Diceros bicornis minor: one gene and its partner. The protein of the gene in region 1 interacts with the protein of each later gene in a biochemical or structural test. Links are inferred from orthologs where the notes say so. Each region holds a gene or a part of one and is shown on either strand. Other genes may lie near its edges.

Region 1 (3,745 bases):
CTGGTGAAAGTTTTGTCCCTATCTCTGTAAGTCCGGGAAAAGTACACTGAAACTTCTTTAGCTCGGACTCCCACTAATTCATCATTCCTAGTAATTAAGATGCAATGTACTCATTTCTAACTCAAAATCAAATTGAGTGTTTTCCCCTGAAAGAGTTCTGTCTTTAAAAGCAATCCAATATTAATTCTCGTTATTCAAAGTCAGGGCTTCAAAAATTAAGAGCTTATTCAATTGCCCAGGATTGTCACATAATACAACAATTAATTATGGTCTGATAAAGGGCTTTATGACACGTTGCAGGTGTAATCAGTTGAGTCACTCATCGCACTTGGGAGTACGAGTAGCATTTTCGTGCACTTCAATGTTACGAAGCTTCAGTGCTTTAAACTCTCCAGCACATGTTTTTCCCTGCCTCGCTGGTTTCCAGCCTCCGGGAGAAGTTCCTGCCTGATAAGCCGCTTCAGGAAGACACCTGAAAGCTGGAGCTCTGAGGGCTCTTCCCACGACTCCCAAGGGTAAACGGGGTGCGGTGCTTTTCCAAAGCCAGGAGTGCCAGAGATTTCACCCCCTGGCCGGCACCTACACCCTTTCCTCTCCTCTCCTCTCCCAGAATCTGTAGTCCATCCGTCACAGCTGCAGGGGACCTTAGCGGGGGCGGAGTGTGTGTCAGATGCAGCTGCGACCCCGCCCCCAGCCAGGTTACAGCCTCCACGGCCACCTCATGTCAGCCCATCTAAGCCTTGGTCCCCTCCAGGAGGAAGGAGGGATTAGAAAATTCCTCTAGGGAAAAGGAGTGGCCAGCCCGCCCAGCCGAAGGGCTCGACCACCCGCGGGAGCAGCTTCGAGCAATCGCCAGGTGAGCATGCGGAAGTAGCTCTTCCTCCCCCGCCCAGACCTATCGGCCCAGGCATAACACACCCACACCCACTCGCGTGCACGCATCACACACACACACACACACACACACACACACACACACACACACACCTCTGCACAGAGACGCGCGTACAAGGCACCGTCAAACCTGTCCCAGCCACAGAGAAGACGACCAGGCAGATGAGGAGTCGAGACATCCGAAACTTTTTTTTTTTTTTTAAGGGGAGGGGGAGGGGGCTTAAAGGCCCCTGCCCCCCTCATCCCTGGAGCCAAGGTGAAACCCGAGGCGGCCCCGGCGGCTGCAGCGCGACCGCAGGCGCTCGGGGAAGCGGCGGCTGGTCCCTAACTTGAACCACAGCGACTGCCGCGGAAGCGGGGCGTCTCCGCCCGGCCGCACCTGTTCCCGACTCTGAGGACGGAGCCTCGCACATCCATTCTGACCTTGAGGGCACCCCGAAAATCCACACTCCACCCCGGGTCAGCATTACTCCGATGCCCTCCCTACAACAGATGAAGTCCCCGGCAGGTACCCACCCAGAGGGGCCGCCTCAAAACGCCCATCGCCGGCAAATGATGAATGCGCTTCCCTGGGATCTCCAGAGCTCCCCGGAGCGCCCCTCGCTTTCCCCAGTGCTTACCTCCCCCCTCACACCAGGTTGGGTCCCCTTTTCTCTCCCCCCCTCAAGTGCAAGAACACCCTCCCCAAGTTCAGCGTTCCCCCTCGTCGGCACGCAGGAGGAAAGGAAGCCTCAGAGGGGCGCCCTCGCAAGCTCACGCCGCAGAGCACCTGGGGTGGGGTCCAGCAGCGAATGGAGGGGGCGGCGGCGCGCAGGGCGCCACCGCGGGGGGCTGTCCCCACGCACCCGGCTCGGAGGTGGCGGGGACACCCCCGCGGTTCTGGGTCAGTGCGGGGCGCTCCTGGAACAACCAAACTTTCTCCGCCACCCGAAGTTCGGGGCGTGAGGAGGCGGCGAGGGGGAGTCGGAGCAGCACCTGCCGGCGCCGCAGGAGAAGGCGCCCCCGAGGGCCGCCGTGGCCCGAGCGCGCCGCGCGCAGCCCGCACTCACCTGGCTGTAGAGCTCGCTGACCGACATGACCCCGCGGGCCGGGCCTGGCCCGGGGCGCCGTGCCTGGCGGGCGGCACTCGCTCGTGCGCCGGGGGGCGGCGGGTCCGGGCTCCTCGCTGCCCCGGCGGCTCTCAGTCCCCGGCCGGCCCGCCTGGCGCCATCTTCCTGGGCTGCCCGGGAGTTTCTGTGTTTCTTGTCCTTTCCCCCCGACCTGCCCCGCCGGCTTCCTGGAGGCGCCGGGGCCGGCTCGCTCTCTGCCGGCGCGACCTTTACTCCCGCCGCGGCGGCGTAGCTGCGGCCGGGCCGGAGTTGCGGGCGGGGTGGGGGTGGGGGGGGGGGGAGGAGGCCGCGCGGCGCCGCTCCCCGCGCAGGTGTGGGAGGAGGTGCGGGAGCCAGGGAGGGGGAGAGGGCGGCGCTCGTCGGAGCTGGCAGCCGGGGCGCCGTCGCCGCCGCCTTTGAGCCCTGCGGGGCCGGGCTGGACGCTCCCTCCCGCGCCCCCGCCGCAGCGGGGTCCTTGGGGCCGGGGGCGGGGCCGGGCGAGGAGCCGGTGCCGGCCGCCCCCTGCTGGACGCCGGGCGCGCGCTGGGACAGGTGCGCCCCGGGGGCCCACACCTGCCGCGCCGCGCTCTGCCTGCACGCGGTCTGTGCCCCTGGGAGGCTGGGCAGGGATGTAGTGGAGACAAGAGAAAAAAAGGAGGGAAAGTAAGCCGGGGGGTAGGGGGGATAAAAAGATGCCTGTGACTGAAAGGCTCCCATATATTTTCCTCTGGATTTTACGTGGCTGCGTTCAATATTTTCATGATTAAAATTCAGTTATATCGTAGATTGTTATTAAGGTGATTTGGGTATACCAAAGATTGTCTCCGCCAAACTGAGCTCCCTGCGCTGAAATCCTGATCAGAAAGGTGGGAGTTGTAACTCGTCACTTCGTTTGCCCGGTTCACCCACAGCTTCCAGCTAGGCTCCCAGCTACCTCCATCAGACTTTCATGCTTTGCCGGGGGTCTCACATTTTCTCCCCTCTCTCCCACATGCACACTCTCAGTCGCTCTGCCGCTCCCTGCCACGTTTATTTTTGTCCCCTCTGCTAGTGCCCCTTGGCTGTCTTCAGCAACTACAGTCCCTCTTCTACTTCCAGCAAAAAGTAGAAATTTCAGCCAAAAAGGAAAATAGCTGACAGGAGTTGGTGGAAGGAGAGGAGGGGACACGGCTTTGGTTTTCCGAAGGTGGCTTTTGTACGTGAATGAGGAATGGCATCTGAGGGTGGTCCTCAGCCAGTGTGTCTGTCTATACCTGCTGGAGGGATTGTCCTGGAGCCCCATTCCCTGGAAGGTGATTCTTAAAACTCATCCCATTTAAGACCTTCCCACCTGGAATGCAAGATCCCCATTTAATTCACCGTGGGACCCCTCTCAACTGTGCCTCCTCAATGAGGTTCACCTGGGGAGCTTTAACTGACCCAAGGAAGGGGCCCCACCCTCAAGAATTCTGGATGATTGGTGAAGGGTGGAAATTATCTGAATTTTTTAAGCTCCTCCATAGTCTAAAGGATTGTACTTCTGGGTTGACAAATGCAGTAACCAAAGCTTGGGCTACTCTCCTTGGATCTGAAATGGACTTCATCATGTCACTGTCAAGAGCAGAAAGGAAATGGTTCCATCATTTCTCACTCAAAAATCTCTGCATCCATTCCTTCCCTATATTCTAGTATTTCTCTAAGCATGGCCCTCAGGCTATCAGCATCACCTGGGAACTTATTAGATATACAAATTATCAGTCATCACCGCAGACTTACTGAATCCG
Region 2 (3,745 bases), on another chromosome or scaffold:
CATACCAGTTTCTAAAAAGCACTTGGGAATATGCTGACAAGGTTCAGCTATGTGGAGAATATTAAATATCTTTCTTGCAATACACTGCCGGCTCAAGTCTGTCTCTTACTGTGCCACATGTACAGCTGTGCTGGAAAAGGAAGCTATTAAATATATTAAAAAACTAGGAATATTACCAATAAAGATATCTCATCAAATACGTGGTCCCCATTTATCCACAAAGAAAGAAAATGTTAGGGATTTAATAACATATGAAAACCACTTTGAATGCAATAAAAGCTCTGTTGATAACATTTAAAAGCATTTTCCCCCCAAAAGTTCTAACCAATTTTATATAGGAGCCCATAGAGAATTTCTGTAGGGAGACTACGATATTAGAGCATTGCTTACAGCCAAATTTATTGTAACTGTGATGCTACCAAAGATAAGGAGTAAAACAAGAAGAAACATTAAAAACTTATTTATTTCATCAGAATCTTTGGGTTCGCAGTTGGGCCTACTTTCACTTGGAAAATTTATATTTCAGAGAAGTCTTGTAATATATCATTCATTAACATGAAAAGTACTGTGAATGCAGTGTGAAATCTGAAGTTACAATATAAAGTTTACATTCAAAACACTTTATTATATAGGAAGTGTCATCTAACATTGGCAATTTGAAACAAATTATTTGGTAATTATCCATTTTTCATTTTAAAGTTGATGAAGAACTCCTCAGAGGAAACTGGATGCCACTTTGTAGGTACCAGTTTTATTAAAATCATCGATACATAGTCGACTTTACGTTTTTAAAAACTTTTCCTCTCCTTTTTTAAAAAATATTTTCATCTCCTCAATTACCTTAAATATTTATCATTTTTCCTCTTGCATTCCTGCTATTTCTTATTTTTCTACCCAACTATCATATATATATTAAGCCTTAGGTAAAGATCTGATTTAAAAAAATTTTTTAATAAAAACTCCAATCAAGAGAAGCTTGCTGGAAGCTATGTGGAGAAAAGAACAAGAGATGGTTGTTTTAAAATAAAAGACATTAAGATGAACTTCAAGAAAATTATCATTATGAACAAGTTTTTAAAAGGTTACATAAATTTTAGTTATGACTGAAATACCAAAGCTATTTTGGAAATTTCAAGTCCTCTTATAAATTCAACCCTATTTTTCTCTCTCATTAATTCCATCAATCTTAATGATCTCTCAGACTAGAAAAATTATAAGTTTAAGGAAGTTGCAAGTATACCCATCTCTGAAAACACACTATTTTTCAATTTAAGATATAATATTCTAGTGTTCATTTATATTATAGTTTTTTAAAATTAGCATATATCTATCTATCCTAAGCTTAAAGTCATATTTAAAAAGCCATGTTTTCATTGAAGATGTTATTAAATCATTTCATCACAAATTAACCATTGTCTCCAATCTGACAGCATTTAATATGGTCTAAACACACTAGACCTAATTCTGAAGTCACATAGTAGCTCCAATATATTGTAAATTCAAAGGAAAATGTTAGTGTGTTCAAGGCTAAGGATGTTTGTACATACTTTTAAAACTTACTTTCTTTTAACAGCTTTGGACTCCATCAAGATGTACTGCCCCTGAAAAATGGCTGAGCTAAAATAAAACCCAAGTATGTTTATAAGGATGAAATGGAACACAGAGTTCCAAATTTGGTAATTTATCTTTCGACAGCTTCAGAGTTCCACATATATATATGATGTTATATTGGCAGATTTAATTTTCTGATGTTCCATTTCCCGGAAAACTGTATGTTTAAAGATGATAATTTACATGTATGTTGTTTTCGTTGGTCAACACTGTGATCCAGTCCCCTTATAAGTAGTGAAACGATGTTAATTTACTTAAAATCCAGTGCAAAAAATTCAATTATTTAATATGTTTACTCAAACAAATAGAGTAATGGAGCATTAATGACTCCATTTATAAAATGTTTCTTCACAAGGGCTATTTTTACTTCAGATTCATGCAAATATGGTGCTTAAAACTGGGTCATATTTCAGTCCAAAAACCAACGCCCCAGGTATACAAATAATTTCCAAGAACAGAAAATCCATAAATAAGACAGAGTTAAGCTCCCCCAAAATTCAAAATAAATTACATAACTTACTCTGTTTTCCTTCTTTGTTTGTCCTCAAAGATGTCATTGAGATTGATTGCCACCTGCCCTAAAAACTTATCCAGACCCACCAGGGACCTGTGCATAACTATGAGGAAAAGAATGTATTTCTCTGGATTCCCCTGCATTAGCAAGCCAGGTAGCTCAAAAGAGGCCTCCTCCTTCCAGACCGGCTCAAGGGTTTTCTCAGCTACTGAGGTGGAGTACTTTTCCTTGCCCAGCTGAATTATAGTGTATGTGTCATTGGTGCCACTTTTGCCTTTTGGCTTAAGATCTTTGGCTTGGAGCACTGTGACCTGCACGTGGGTTGGAAACCACTTCTGGGCTTGCTCGGACAGCATCATGCTGTGCTGCTTCTCCGCAGCGAGTTCACAAGCGCAGGCAGTGCCCCTCCCGGTGGGGGGAGCCTAATTCCTTAAACCCTGCATCCTAAGGGCACTTAACAGAGACCGGCAAACTCACAGCTGCCCAACTTCCCGAGGGCCGATGTCAAATGGCCTCACCGGGGCAGCCCGGGGGCACGGCTGCTCTGGGGGTCCCCTTTCCTCTGGAGAAGCACAGGGGCCCAGCATCACCTGGCCGCGCCGTCCCGGCCTCCGCGCGGACGCCCGCGCCTCGCGTCTGCACCTTCAGGCTCCGCGGCCCCGGGGACGGGCCCTCGGCGGCGGCGGGCGGCTCCCGGGCCTGCGGGCAGGTGAGGCCTGGCCTCCAGGGCCGGGCGGAGGGCGGCGGAGGAGGGAGGGTGCCCCCGCCCTGCAGACTAGGGCCCGCCCGCCCAGATCCGCAGCCCCCGGCCTCGCGCCCGCCTCCTCGCGGCCGGGCCGCCCCCGCCGCGCCTCCCGCCCGCCCCGCGCGGGTCCGCGGGCCCGGCCCGGCTCCTCCTCCCGACCCCGGTAATACGAACCGCCGGCGGCTCGCGCGGCCTCGCTCCCTCTCGCAAACCTCTCCCTCCTCCTCCTCCCCTTCGCCTCGGCTCCTCCTCTCTGGCGGGGCGGGTCGCCTGGGCGTGGAGTGGGACGGGGGGCGGGGGACGCGGCCGCCCCGGCGCCGGCGGGCCGCGGGCCGGGCCGCGGACTGCAGGGCGGCGGGCACGGGCCCGGCCTCGCCGGGCCGGCGGTTCCTAGCACCGGGCGGGCGGCGGCAGCGGCACTTCCGGGTTGGCTTTCTCCATCTTGCTCTCGGGAACGCGACGGGGCGGGGCCCGCGGGGTCAGGGGTCAGCACCTCCCTGGTTGCCCTGGCGACCGAGGGCGCGCGGCGGGAGCTCCCCGCCCAGTGCTTGGTGCTCCTCGGGTGGCTTCGCGCCCGCTGCTCCGGCCTGGCGCAGCGCTGGGCTCTGGGGACGTGGAGGTCTGCACGGGCCGGCAGGGAGCTCTGGGGAGATCGGGGGACCGCTCCCGAGAGGAGGCAGTGAAGGCCCGGGGCCTGCCCCGTCTAGGGAGAGACCCAGTTTCAATCTTCGGAAGCTGTCTGCTGTACTCTGGATGCCCAGTGCCTGGCACGGAGCGGGCGTTGGACGAATGGCGGTGGAATGAATCAGTCCCCTTCGTTAACTGAAAACACACTTTCCCCAACCCCTTATCCACTCTTCTCTTTTTGAAAAGAG

What was found. The genes of interacting proteins can lie anywhere in the genome.
Region 2: the proteins of MYO5B (region 1) and RAB11FIP2 form a complex in vitro, tested with the Homo sapiens proteins (2 studies listed by BioGRID). The link is inferred for Diceros bicornis minor from reciprocal best matches to the Homo sapiens genes MYO5B and RAB11FIP2.

What each region holds. Positions count from the first base shown.
Region 1 is NC_080755.1:42,690,418-42,694,162, forward strand, and holds the start of MYO5B (unconventional myosin-Vb), read right to left. Parts: upstream 2,389-3,745; 5' UTR 1,971-2,388; coding exon 1,944-1,970; intron 1-1,943. UniProt on the Homo sapiens protein: May be involved in vesicular trafficking via its association with the CART complex. The CART complex is necessary for efficient transferrin receptor recycling but not for EGFR degradation.
Region 2 is NC_080745.1:81,039,004-81,042,748, forward strand, and holds the start of RAB11FIP2 (rab11 family-interacting protein 2), read right to left. Parts: upstream 2,881-3,745; 5' UTR 2,485-2,880; coding exon 2,132-2,484; intron 1-2,131. UniProt on the Homo sapiens protein: A Rab11 effector binding preferentially phosphatidylinositol 3,4,5-trisphosphate (PtdInsP3) and phosphatidic acid (PA) and acting in the regulation of the transport of vesicles from the endosomal recycling compartment (ERC) to the plasma membrane.